3 linked regions of the Drosophila melanogaster genome follow. The gene in region 1 interacts genetically with each later gene. Each region holds a gene or a part of one and is shown in the gene's direction. Other genes may lie near its edges.

Evidence for each region. Genes that interact genetically often act in the same process or in processes that back each other up.
Region 2: of vari (region 1) and Sema1a, changing one enhances a phenotype caused by changing the other (phenotypic enhancement), as found in Drosophila melanogaster (one study listed by BioGRID).
Region 3: of vari (region 1) and pio, changing one enhances a phenotype caused by changing the other (phenotypic enhancement), as found in Drosophila melanogaster (one study listed by BioGRID).

What each region holds. Positions count from the first base shown.
Region 1 is NT_033779.5:20,794,020-20,798,893, reverse strand, and holds the start of vari (varicose), read left to right. Parts: upstream 1-1,851; 5' UTR 1,852-2,135; coding exon 2,136-2,241; intron 2,242-2,759; coding exon 2,760-2,857; intron 2,858-3,638; exon of another isoform or gene 3,639-3,886; intron 3,887-3,955; exon of another isoform or gene 3,956-4,088; intron 4,089-4,747; exon of another isoform or gene 4,748-4,834; intron 4,835-4,874.
Region 2 is NT_033779.5:8,540,370-8,545,202, forward strand, and holds the start of Sema1a (semaphorin 1a), read left to right. Parts: upstream 1-1,777; 5' UTR 1,778-1,843; intron 1,844-2,843; exon of another isoform or gene 2,844-3,346; intron 3,347-4,174; 5' UTR 4,175-4,833. Other genes in the region: CG17834 (uncharacterized protein), read left to right, coding at 89-867. UniProt on the Drosophila melanogaster protein: Involved in growth cone guidance through its role in axonal repulsion. Function in neurons is essential for adult survival, motor neuron survival, and is important for climbing behavior and activity.
Region 3 is NT_033778.4:24,579,656-24,584,300, forward strand, and holds the start of pio (piopio), read left to right. Parts: upstream 1-1,589; 5' UTR 1,590-1,713; exon of another isoform or gene 1,714-2,185; 5' UTR 2,186-2,423; intron 2,424-4,645.

The sequences.
Region 1 (4,874 bases):
CATTCAATATAAAACAATTCAAAACGTATCTGGGCATTTATATATTTAAAAACTGCGTTTATTTATGAGGTTTATATAAAGAAACAGTTTAAGAATAGAAAAATGTAATAAACTTCTGTTACCATGCCGACCATTTGGCACTCATTTAACCACTGTGCCTCTAAAATCAAGGACTCTCGATGGCTGAGCTAAATTTTTTGCACATTTGCGGGTTTCTTGCGCACAATGGTCAAAGGGGCGCGAATCAAACGGGGGCCTTGACTTTTGCACTTTTGGCGAATTTTTTTTACAGCAGGACATACAGCAAATCGGACGGAGGATAAAACAAGAACCAAAAAGAAAGATACAAGGCACAAATACCGAAAGACAAGTAACTCACCACGACGGGGGGTGTCGCCGGAGGTGAAGGTGGATAAACAGGAATTTCTGCCTGTTCTGTTTTGATTTTTCGCTATCTCTCTCTTTCGCTCAGCTGCTTCTGCTTCTTCGGTTTGTTTATGTGTAATCCTTTTGTTTCTTTCGATTTTGGCGCGCAATTTTCCTTTTTTTTATTGCTATTGTTTTAGTTGTTGCTAATTACTAATTTGCAATGCAATTTTTCAAAACACGCGAAGCCGTTTTGTTGTGGCCGTTGTTATTGTTGCGTTGGCCGTGTGATTGCGGTTATAGTTGTCGTTGCGTTGTTGTTGGTTGTTGCTAGTTGCTGTTGTTGCTTTTGCAACTTTTTCACAATTTGCATTTCACGTATTTTTGCAGCAGCTTCGACGACTTTGACTTTGTTGCACAAACACAGGCGGAAAAACGGCCACACACTAACGAACTGAAAACAACAAAACAATCCGAGGAAGCTGCTGGCGTCTCTTTTCCTTCGATTTTTTCCCAAGATTGCCAATCCGATTTTACTGCCTGATTTAGTGTACTTTCGCGAATCTATAGTTATTTCCGCAGCCAGTCATTCAAAAACGAAAATGTAAACGAAACAGTGGGTTTACATTAATATATCATCACATAAATATGGGTTTTTTTGAATCCCAAAAGCATCTCGTGTTACTTAGCGCGACAAATCGGTTTCCGACGTATACTCGTTCGCTGAGATGTTATTCCACAGTGGTATTTAATTTGTTTTTACTCTTCATGCGAGGAAAGCACCGTACGCGCACGCTGCTCAAAACGGAATGAAAACAAGAGCTGTCGCATCGTTTCAGCCGAAAAATACCGAAGCATGCTGAAACTTCGAAAAATACCGCAAGCGAGAAACGATGTTTTTTCATCTATGGCAAGTCGACGTCTATTACCCTTTCGATTAATAGAAATAAAATATTGCATATTTATTGAAGTAACGAAGTTTGTTGCATCCCAGAGTTTTGTTAAGGCATAAATAAAGTTCCATAAGCAATTTAAAGACTATTTAATTAAATTGATTTCTAATTGGCATATGAACGAACATTTATTGGTCGTCCAGTTTAGAGTACATATTTATGTACAAATCGAAGTAAATTTTTTATAATATTAACGCACGGTTTATCAATGGCACAAACCATCAGCGATTCCCAAGCCATCCATTTTTAGCTATGTTATAGCTATAGAAAAAGCAATCACAAGCAAAATTAAAGATAATAAACAATATTAAATTTAAATGGCCTGAGAACAGTGGAATGCATTTTTATGACAGGCTTTCGAACTCCGTACATAAAGTACATTTACCGTACCGACCCAACAAAGAAGTGGCGCCGATAAGCACAATATTTAAAAACCGATAGGCACACGTTATTTGACTTTTTGTCTGCAAAAGCTTTCTCGTTTTAAGGAGCTTTGATTTTGGCATCACCTGCAACAAAAGCGGTTTTCAGTTTAGTTAGCCTCTTTCTCACAAACAAGTCGGTTGTTTTTGCGCTGTTGGAGGAGTGAAATTCTTAGCCGCGCTATTGTTTTTGTTGTTTGCGTGGCGTTGTGTTTATAACAATAACAACAAGTGATTATCACTGGAAGACATGTTCTGTTCAAGTAGCTAAGCATATGGCTGGCTAAGAAAAAAAACACAAGGGTTATAACCCTTTTTTGGCCGAAATACGAGACTGTCCTCCGGGGTTACTTCATTCGGTCTGTTATTTTGGCCACCTCCCAGTTCCTTCAAAATGGTTCGGTGGAGCGCGCGGTCGCGGCGCCAAGCTCGCCAGGATAAAGTGGAGCTATTGGCCAGAAACAACAAAGTGAATGGCGAGGACGATACCTCCGATAACGGTACGTGCCAGGGGTGTCCTCAAAAGGAGAATTTTAAGCGAAGTTCATACGAAATTCCAAACTATCATTTTATTGTTGTTTCTTTTTCCTTTAAGGCTCTGTTAATAAAGTTTTAATTTTGAAGATTTCAGTTGTTTAAATAGTTAAAAGATTTACAAACTAAATATTTCAATTCATATTCAAAAAGTGAAACGAGACAAGAGTTATGTTGCATTTCAGTAAGCCTGCTTGAAGTAAATATAATGATTTGTACTCATAGCTAAGAATAATCTGAAACCTGTTTGAAGATATGCGGTCTTTAAATGTATTTACAATAAATCGATAACAAAGAATATGATTATAAAACGAAAAATCAGATGCATGTATATCTAAATATTTCCCTCTAGAATTCCATCATTGTATGAATTGTATGAATTGAAAAGGGTAGCATTAAGCTGCCAAAACGAATGTCATTTCATCTGTTTCCGATTGTCATTTAACGACTGCGATTAATCTAAAACACTTTCGCTCCGTTTTAGCCGCCTTTCGCAACTCGACTGACCTATCCGACCACGATGAGATCTTCCTCAAGGGATTGCTGCGTAGTAACTCCAACACGCCCCACAAGGAACTGATGGCAAGTAGACCAGAACATATAAACGTAAAAAGGCGAGAGAAAATATCTCTGTACAATTTCTGACCCACTTAAACGCCTTCGAGCATCTGCTCAATAAGAAAATTGCGCATACGGTTTTCCACCCATTTTCCATACCCAGCCACACACACGCACACACTTTCCACATTTGTGTTTACTTCATCGATGGCATTGCATGCTGATTTTTCGGTCTAGATAGAATTTTCCGGGCTGCTTGTATGTGCGTGTGTTTGCTTTTCTTATTACATCATTTTCCTTGCCTCCACAAGCGCCAAAAAGAAAAGAAAATCCTTCTGTATTTTAAAAGATTTTCTCGCTTTAGCCATGCACTGCAATTGTTTTTTTTTTTTTTTTTGACTTCGTAATGGCCCATTAGCACTTGCTATTTTATTTTTGCCTTCCTCTTTTGAGTTTTCGCACTAAACTTGACCTCTATTGCCTCGGCAGATGAGTTGCCTTTATGCAGATGGGAGGCATTTTATTAGATCATCGTGACATAACCATTGAAGTGGAAATTATCTTGACCCGACACATTTAGCGCCTCCTCGAAGGTTTCTTACGGTAAAAGAACTGCCAAAAAGTTTGTAGCCTAATCAAATTGTAAATATTATTTGCTGTTCCTGCGGCAAACACGCAGGTCAACTAGAAAAACAATGAGAGGCAGTTACAACCAAAATTAAAACGAATTTGTTGTGCTCTGTATACAAGAAAAATAACAAAATATTTTAATTAATTTTTAAAAATTAATTTTCAAAATTGAAGATGCCCTTTCTAAGATGTAAAGTTATTCTGTTGGCGAATAATAAAGAAGTGGGGAATTAAATAGTATGTAAAAAATAGGCGTAAAACAATGATTATTAAGACCCAAACTAGCAGTACGGAAAAGCCAAATACAACAAATATTATGGAAAGCGACATCGTGTGACGACGACCATAATTAGAATCCAACATTTTCCGAGGCATTTTCCTGGGCAGGCTCATTCGTTTGTGGTTTTCTGCTGTGGTCGGCGGCTGTTGAGAAAGGCAGTGAAAGTAATTAAGCCACGAGTCACGAGATAAGAAAATATGAAATGTCACTACCAGCTCCCCTGTTTTCCTTTCCCCAACTCGCCTGTCGTCACCGCTCCTTGGAACACTCCCCCATTTTATGCAGATTACATAAAACTCGACGCAAGTCGCCGTGCCAACTCTTTGACATCAACGCCCCAAAGAAGTTGTGTGTATTTGAGTGTGAATAAGGAAACCGGTTTGGAAACATTTTCCAACGTAAACACTACGCTTTTTATGCTACCTGCGCTCGAAAACGATGCACAAAAAGCGCCCAGCTCGTTGGCCTACTAATGCAGCTGTGGTCGGGAGATCGAAAAAGCTTGCTATAAGATGCTGTTAAGATCACTGAAGTAGTTGGTAAAAACATTGCAAAGCATGTTATAGCCAAACTTACTTATTTAAGGTTCTGTTTTACTGAACAAAGTATAAAGCTAGTTAAATAAATATGTTTCAGCAACATTTGAATTATAATATTTGGAAAGCTAAGATCAGATTATTTAATTTCAGTATAACATTTAACAGAACATTTTAATGTTGGTTATTGTTATATTTTAGATATACCCCAAGTATGTACATATTTGTATTTTAAAAAGTTTTCTACAGTTTCAAATGGTTTTCATTAACAGAAAGAGAGGGCGCGTCACTGCTGGTTTTAAGTCACTGTTAAGTACAAGCTAACATGTGGATAACAGACTGCGTACAGTTGTAACTTGGCTCACGCGGAGCTTTTTTCACGGCAAGCCAGCGGCAAGCGAACTGAGCAGCAAACAAAGCTAGCCCTAACTTGCTCACTAGCTCTCGCCGCTTGCTTCCATAGCTCGTGAGTCAGTTAGTTGCGAACAGTGCTAAGGTGAGGTTCACATTCCGGTTTGAAACGCGCGCTTCGTTGGTTTCGGCCCATTCGAATGAGTGAGCATTGGTGCCTGACTGTAGTATAGGTGTTTTCACG
Region 2 (4,833 bases), about 12 Mb from region 1:
AAATCAGGACAATATCTCTAAATAATATGGGTTTAGTTACTTGCAAATGCAGAACACTTTTTAAACGGAGTATATCTTCTTTTTGCAGGAGATGCCACTGATGCGAGAACAGGATCGACCGAGAAGCGAATCACCTTCACCCTGGCTCCCAGTTCGGCCGAATGCTCGCCGTCGGGTAGCCAAACGACACTTACTCCCAAAAAGTTCGAGGCCATTGCCGAGGAGGAGAAGGAGGACGACAAGGCCGATGAGGAGGAGGAGATCATGGAGGAGGTGGTGCTGCGACCTCGCCTCATCGACCGGCATCCTCATCTGCTGGCCAACCCCAGTGGACTGACGACCACGCCCAAACGGATCCTGCGATCCGCCAAGAGCGTTCCGCACATGAATGTCCGTTCGTCGGCCAGTGAGACGGATATATTCTCCATTAGCGGTACGATGACCGGAAGCAGTCAGATCAGCATGACGCCGGAGGTGCCATCGATATCGTTCAGTAATCTGCCTAAGAACTACGAGGACACGCCCACTATTGAGAAGTACCGGGTATCGCAGAGTCTCTATTCCATTCAAACGGCGAATGCTGCTCGGGCCACACAGGATGATTACTCCATGCCGCGCTACTTCCGTCGATCTGCCATGCTATTGACCCAGAGCTCTGAGGTGCTGCCCGGCGCCAGTTCACTGGCCTCCATGTCGCCATCGATGGCCTCGTCCTCTGCCTCGCCCGGGTCCTCCAAGGACGAACTGCGACGGCCAGAGAAGGAGAAGAGCAAACGACTCCAGATGCTGCGTGGCAATCTACCGCCCTTACTTATTCATTCCGTGTCCTTCAAACGAAATCGCGACGAGGGCAAGCAGGTTGACTAGTCGCACTGCAGATATACATATTTATTTGTTAATCACTTTGTCCATGTTTTTAATGTTTTAAATTTATTAGCCTTTAGTACCTGCTTATGCGTTTTCTGTATTATCTTCTAAGCAATGACCTTGTCCAAACAATTCCTCAGTATTCAGATGTACTTCATTTTGAATTAATGATTGATATTACAAAATAAATTGTATTTTACCACAAAAAACAGCGATTAAAGATCCTACTTAATAAATCTTTATAAAAATCTAAACGATATCTATTTGTACCATTTTAAAAGAAATAAATGCGAGCTTGAAAAAAAATGCACTTATCTCCCCGACGGGGAATTGAACCCCGGTCTCCCGCGTGACAGGCGGGGATACTAACCACTATACTATCGAGGATGTTATACAAAGTGAGTCAAACTCGGGTTTTCCGTTTGCGGAGTGTGAATGCTTGTTTCAATTTCATCTGTTCCCCATTTGTACTCTGAAGACAGTGTGCAAGCTCGAGACGGTTGTTTGACAGTGGGTAGACAACATCCTCGATAGTATAGTGGTTAGTATCCCCGCCTGTCACGCGGGAGACCGGGGTTCAATTCCCCGTCGGGGAGAGATGTAAAAATTACTTTTTGTTGATTGTTTTAATTTATTAATTTAATTTTTTAATTTTTTAATTTCAAAATTTAAGTAATGCAATACATGTTTCAGACCAACAAATTAAAATAAAAAATTGCACCATATAGCTTAAAAAAACGTCAAACATGTATATTTAATTAGGTCATCCTGGAAGTGATATATAATGAAACACATTTCAACGGGTATATAAGTTTTGTTAAGGGGTAACTGTAAGCCGGACCCATTTAGCTTACCACCCAATATGGTAGCACTGGCTGTAGAAATTCCCAATGGCAACGCTAGTCGACCAGTTTTCATTCGTATTGGCGTGTGTGTTGTTTGTACAACAAAACATTCTAGTTGTTTTATTTGCAAGGTGCTCATATAAAAACATAAACAATATATTTCGTAGAGTGCCCTAATAATTTATTAAGTTGTGAATTAAACAAATATGAATAAGAAGCGTGTCCAAGTGAATTGGTTAAATTGTAAATTATAAATAAAGCAATACATATAAACGGCCGGCAAAACAGAGAGCGCGTTTTAAGAGAGAACCTAATAGGAAAAGAGTGTAGAGCTGCCAGGTTTCAATTAGGTACCAGGTACCAAACGTATTTATTATTCGAGAAGAACTATTTTTGGTGACTAAATATGGTTTCTGATTATAGAAGTGTTCTCCTAATATATAATTTTTAAAAATTTTTTTCTACACGTGCCCTCAGATTGTTGATATTCAAAATTCGTACACAAACGCCCTTGACAGGCGCAGTCTCACCCGCGCCCACTGAGAGCGGAACGACGGAAATTTCAAACATTATTTCTATTTTCTATTTGAATTGAAACTATGTATTTTCCATAATTTTCAAAATATTCTTGATTTTTTTTGAATAACTAAATTAATTATTTTAAGTATCGCGAGGGAGAATAAGAGTTTAAAGCGGCCGATTATATTGAGGGGGAGTTTCAGTCAACGAAAAGGAAATAGTGAGAGGAGAGGGCTTATTGAAGAGAGCCTCTCATTTTAAAATTTCTCTTTAAGCGTGTTCCTTCTAAAGGACACAAGAAACTAATATGTTTATGAAATAAGAAACTTAACCGTGTATGTGTTTTCCAATTTTGCGTGAACAAATAAAAGAGCTCAAGCATTTTATCGTTTGAGTAATTTTAGATAAAAATTTATTAATATTTTTTAATGTTTTCAATTTGCCATAGACAACATTTTTTCCAATAAAATTCGGTAATATAAATAACATGGTGTTATGGCCTGCAATTTTTATATAAATTTTTAGTAGCACGCTCTTAGTTTAATATTTAGGTCAATAAAATAATTATCCTTATTGTTTTTTTTTTTAATTTGCATATTGTTTGTTGACCAGCTGTTAAGAGAAGAGAGGAGAGAGAAAAAGAGAACCGAAAAAGTGACCGTTCGCGACTTCGCAGTCAGCGCTGGAAAACGCACTAACGCGCGGAAAATGCCCTAGCGCCAGAGAAAGTGCCATTTGAGACTGAACTCTCTTTCGTGCGAGTTCCCTTTTCATTCGAAAATTTAACGCCCGCGCTGCTGCAGCGCGTTGTTGCTCCGGTTGGAAAATATCTGAAAACAGCATTAATAAATAAACAAAAATATTGGATAAATCGCCGGTAGAAACGCTGCATAAAACGAAATTTGGTTTCTTGTAAAATATTATTTTTCAAGATATTTTCTTGTTAATTTCCGGATATTCGACAAGGATATAAATGTTTCTTTCGCGTTGATAAACAAATTCCAGCACCGCTACCTTTGTGTCGCGCAATTGTGAAAAGTGATTTGTCCATTGTGTACATTAATTAATAAATTGGTAATTGCTCAATTTAGAAACATGTGCAATCGAGAGCTAGTGTGAGTGTTTGTGTGCAACAATAATAAAGCCGAAAATTGCCCAATTGCAATTGGCAATCACAACAAAATTGGAATATTATGGCACATTAGAAAAAGAAAATAACGAAAACTGTGTTTCCACCCAAAGTTTAGGCCGCAGCAGAGCGAATCCACAAAAATATACAATTTCGGCAATTTTTCCACATATTTTTCATTGATTTTTCGCCATCCTGCGGGTGTGAGCAAGAGGGCGAGAGAGTTGAAAGGAGAGCCAGGCTTTTGTATTCTGTTTTGGGTACGTTTTGGGAATGAAACGGTCCTGGCTCTCGCTAACCCACCCTCCCTCTCTCTTTGGGATTATCCTTTTTATATTTTGTTTATTTCTCTATTTTCCTGGCCACGTTTTGTGCACCATTCGTTTCGCTGCATTTCATTCTCGCGGCGTTTCAAATTGACTCAGAGAGAGTGAGAGTAAGAGTGGGAGAGAGCAGCACTCTCTTATTCTTCTTCCTCAAACTCACGCACCCCCCGCATAATGTTTTTCGACTCTGCCTTGTGCCCCCCATTCGCATCTCTCCGCAGCGCGTTGCCAACCAAAAAAAGAAAACTAAAGTACTGTTGTCATAATAAGAAATTTATCAGGAAAAAAGTTGAATTACAAAGTGTTTCAATTGATATTTCTTGATCATTTCTTCATCAAATCGTGTTTCATATCGTAGCAAATATTAATTTTAATTCAAAAAGCCCTACATGCCAGATATTTGTGTTCAAGATAAGCTCTTCCTGCGGCCATAACTTTTGATTGGGAAACTGAAATCTAATCCAGTTTTCCTTCTCCCATTTCCACAGTATTTAAGCCAGAAACAAAGTGAATAAGGCAAATTTGAATAAAGAAAAAGAATAAACCAAGAAAATATGCTCAGAAATCGCATCCGTAGCCTACTTATCGCATGAAGAACCGGTACCGTTAAGGGATAATCGCCGTCGCGTTAATTCGACTCCTGCACCGCACCGCCCCGCCCCCCCGTTCGTCGTTTCGTCTATTCATATATCCGATATAACCGTTATCGCGCCCGTGCATCTGCGTCTGCATCTGTGTGCGTGAGTCCTTGTATCCTCTGTACATATGTACAATATTTGTCGTCGTCGTCGTCGTGCATCGTTGTTGTTGTTCTTGCTGTTATCCTATTATTCATCGTCGTCCGCTGGCATTAATCTGCGTATAAAGTAAATATAACAAATTTGTGTTCTTCGGTGTTGTCTCGTGTAAGTGTCTATAATTTGTTTAAGTACGACAAGCGATCGGTGCGAATCAAAAAATTCCAATTCACCAGTCTGTGTGTGCGAATCGATAATCGAGCTATCAGAACAACCACAACAACAACAACAGCCCAATCAATCGATCAATGTCAGCAAACAAACGATAAACAGGACTCGCTGGGACTAATCAATTGCGTAATCTTCAGAATATTTTGGATTCCAACGTCTACGGAGTTTCAACTTTTGAA
Region 3 (4,645 bases), on another chromosome or scaffold:
GATAAAAGACCTGGACAATCTACACACATTGAATTTTTCTCAGATTTAATTTGCTAGTAGCTCCACACGGCTATATCAAGGTTAATACTATAAATTCGGCTGGAGTTAATAAATTTTCCGGACGCCAAACAGTGACAGTTACCCCGGCTACGTAGTCCTGAATCCCCCGGCCGCCTTTTGGGAATCGGCCTGGTCCCTCCGGAACTCCATGTCCTGTTGCTGTTCAATGGGGTGGTTTTCGGTTTGTTCGATTGTCCCCCCGACGACTGTCGCTTGGACTTCCCCTTTTCGACGGATTGAGGAGTTGGAAAATTTTTTATTTAAATTTATTTATAGTCAATAAGGTGGGCAGGCCATGCTCTTAAGAGCTTGCTTAACTATTTTAACATAAATATATAATAAATAAATAATACATTTTAAATTATTTAAAAAATTTCCACTCATAAATATATGCTTATATTTTATTTGTGTAAAGTACCTATAATGCCAAATGGTGAGGGATTTACCCATCCCAGTCCTTGTAGAATTCTCTCACGTCTCAAAAGAATAATTCGTCCACTTCATCCAAGTTTTCCCCACACATGTATAACCGAAACAGAGGAACACGCATAATAATAATAAATATTGATAGAACTAAAGTATAAACAGCGACGGGCAGCTTCAAGGGAAATACGGCAGAAAGTAACAACAACTCGGGGTCTCCGAGGTGTCACAGCTACCTGTACTCGCACCTGGGATCTCGAGGTTGCAAGGGCGCTGGGTTCACAGAATGTAGAGACAAGTTCAAGATTTATGTGCCTACCGAGTAAAACAAAAGAAGAGCAGCATGTGTCCCACAGAGAAGCCTCGTCAGTCCAAGCAGTCAGCCCCACCAGTGGCCATATATGCCGTCATCAAGGTGTTCTGGTGACAGCCCACACACTGGCCATAATTGCACCGATCTGCTGCCAAGTTTGAGCAGAACCTGACTTCCAGTTGCGAGCGCACAGCTGTGGCCGAAAGCATGACGTTGGCCTGGAGGCGCTCCAAAGACACTTGGATACCACCTGGATACTTGGAAACTTAGTCTAGAGTGCTTCGAATCAAAGCATTTTTATAAATTTTAATCACAAACAAACATTAAAGAATATGGCAAAAAATATTTAAATTTAAAAAAACCTTAGCTAGGGAATATAGGGTTTTTTGTTGAGGTTTCCAGCCCAATGTTTCTCTATGTGCACACTTGCGATATGGGATGACCGCCGCCCGACCCTCTAATTATGCCGCACTCATTAGAAAGACAATCTGGACCCGCAGCCGTAGGTGTATTAAAGGGAGCCAGCGGAGCGTGGCCGCCAGTCCCGCCGGTCATCAAGTGCAGCTCAGCTGGACGACGTGTTGCTGCTGTAAAACTGGCAGCGACACCGCGGCCACCGCCAATTGAGGCGATACTATACTATGCCTTAGTGAAGAGATCGTCGGAAGAGCGCACATAGACTTGCCAATTGCTCCGAAAATCCCAGAGCGCCGCCACTCCGAATCTTGGCAAGACCGGTTGTCGGCCATCGTCTTGGCGTTTTCGTCGGAGTGCGAGTGGCTCGGTTTCGGGCCCAGTCAGTCTTGGCCAGGTCGGTGTGCGAGACACATCCACAGCGCTCAACGAACCTCTATCCCATCGATCCCATCGCTTCGATTTCGATTGCTATTCCGATTCGTTTCGATCCCGAATCGTGCGTGAGTTTTTCGAGTGGCGTAGCTCTGCGGTTATGGCTCCGTTTACCCGGTTCTAATTGGATCGTGCGTGTGGATTTGAAACGGCTTTCCGTGGCTCCAAGAGACGTTCATGGGTTTCCGAGATTTGAAATAGTTGCGGTTGTTGCTGTTGTGCCTGTGATGTTTCTGTCGTGATTTTCTCTGATTGTTGTTGCCCTTGGGAAGCGATTAAGCTCGACGGGTGGTTGAACCGGGCCAGTAAATACGTGCTGAATGATTTGTGAATCTTTTGAATATTTCGCGTTGTTTTCTGGGGAAGTGCAAAAGTGTCGGGAAGTTTGTTGCCTCAGTCTTTTGTGTTGAGACGGCGTAATAGCAGCAGCAGCAGCAGCAACAACAACAGCTCGGATTATTTGCCACAATTCGCACAAAGAGCAGCTCTTAGCGTCTCTTTACCACTCTTGGCCAACTCTTAAATGTGCAATTCCCGCAGCGTTAACATGTAAAACGAGTGTTGGCCACAAAACGAAATAATTATAGAGGAAGCCCGCAAAAAAAAAAAAAAACACTTAGGAAGTACATAAAAACAAAATCAAACTAATGTGAAACCAAAATTCGTGAAAATATCTAAAATCATCATCGTTCCGGGCAACCAGTTTAAGGCACAGCGAAATCGCAACAACGGACACATAACAAATTGGATTACGCAAAAAGGGCGAAGTTGGCTAGAGGTGAGTGTTGCGGAGTTGCTGTTTGAAAAGCCATAATCGAATAACCAGAAACCCGAAACCCGCAAAAAGAAACAGTTAAAATCAGGCAGAAAATCAAAGCTGTGCCGTTTGCAAAAACAAACCCAAAACAGCCTTAAAAGATGACTTCATAAATCGCCGACGCTGTGGATGTGCCAAAAATCCATCAGCCAAACCGGTTGGCTTCACTTCGCCTCGCTCGAAATTCGGAATTCACGGAATACCAATACTTGTACTCGGGGGAACAAATTGAAGAAGCGTTGCAATCTGTTTTCTGTGCAAATGAAATGGGCCTTATCTGAAAAGCGGCCTGAGAAGCCATCTGTCCGGGGATCTGAACCTGTTTGCCAAGGTTGCCAGTGGCCGATGTTGGCTGCCAAGTTCGCAGCCAGTTGCATCATCTGGGGACACAAATATGGCCGCGATGGGGTTGGCCATCGGCAATTGGCTATTTGAGTAGCCACATCACGGACATCCGTCTTCCATCCGCTTTTCCTGCCTTCTTTCCCGTTTTTCAATGCCCATTTCTGGATGCGCACCGCATAAGTAATGTGTCATCGGGCTCTTGGAATCAAAGGTCCATTCACATTTACCCCCACTCCGTGTGCGGCCATTATAAGCCAGAATCTGTTGCTAATTGGCTGACCCAACATTACCCACATGAGCTGAGACCGGGTTCTTCTCCTTGTGGAACTTTTAGCACTTCCACGGATCACACAGCCATAATTATGTTCGTTCCATTGTGTTCGGGTTGGCGTCTAAAGAAGCAATTAGAAATGTTGATTGATGGAGAGATGAACCCCGAACCCATCCCGATCCGACACTTGCATCATCTTTGGACTATGGGAATGTGATGCACGGCCTTTCCCTTTTCGGTGATGCATGGCCTATTAATTGGTTAATTTGTGGTTTGTTAGCCATCAAAATATTGTAGTTGGCCAATGTAATGGTCTTCATCTGCGTTGAATACAACGCCTTGACTAGTGAATAATGGCTCATCCGCCAAAGGCGTTTATCTCCAACTTCTGTTGGATATTTCCAAGTTCTCCGGCATTCTCGGAAAGCTTTGCGTCGAGGAACGCCAACGCAAGCGTAAAATTTGTATAATTAAAAGGCGAATCTGCGCCCGAGCTGCTCGAATACCAGTTTCTGAGCCATCGTGTAGTTAACTTGTTTATATAACAGCCAGACAACAACTCGCAGTGACCTTGAAGCGGGCACAAAATAAGGTAAAGACGGAAAATATGATTGTACGTATAATTTCGTATTATTTTGCTGCCTGGCGATGTGTGTGCTCAGCTAAGTGAGAGAAGTGAAGACATATGACGGATTTTTGGGGGTTTATGAACTAAGCCGAGAAATGCGTGTGGGCTTGATTGCCAAAAGCTGTGTGATTGATTTATAATCTCCCGCGGAAGAACTAACAAAGAAAGCGCCAAAAATGGTGAGGTCATTCAACCAGGCCAAGACCTTTTCAGCGTTAGATTTCCGCCTGCTCGTTGGTATTGATTTACAGTTGAAACGAAAGACTTAGGCAACGAACTTCGCGACTGCATTACTCATACGACACGTTGGCGCTCAGCACTAATTATGCAAAAACCCAAATGCTAGCGAAAGGCGTGCCCCAAACCCAGCCGTGAGTCACAAGCTTCGCTTGCCCCCCGTTAAACGGACACTCTGCATTGGGTTGCTTGTTTGTTTTCGGCCAAAATGAAAAGTCGTCTGGCTAGTTGATCCCCCACTCTCCAGCCTCCTCCACCACCACTGGCGAATTAAACCAACATTGGCAAACTCAAGCGGACTTAAATGCAGGCTTTTACCTTAGATCAACCCCACGCAAAACCCCGCGACTGCAGTCGACCGACCACGAGGTTGTTCAATTCATTCCAAACACTTTCAAATCCAAGCCTTAAAAGGGGAGTGGCAGGCCAAGACTTTTGAACTGCGGACTGTGCTCGAAGGAAGTGGGCACAGAACTGTGGCCAATACTTGGTGTGTTAAGTTCTCAGACACTAAGATATAAGATAAATAAATTATTGTAATATAGTAGCGATCGTCTATGATATCAATGTCTAAGTTTAGCATTTATGACACTACAAGTGATTTATCTCAGTGAAGTTCTACGCTCATTAACTTCAAGTACGAGACTATTTATGGTTTAGAGGAAATCCTCCTCAAAAGTTAGTTACTTAAGTACTGAGCCG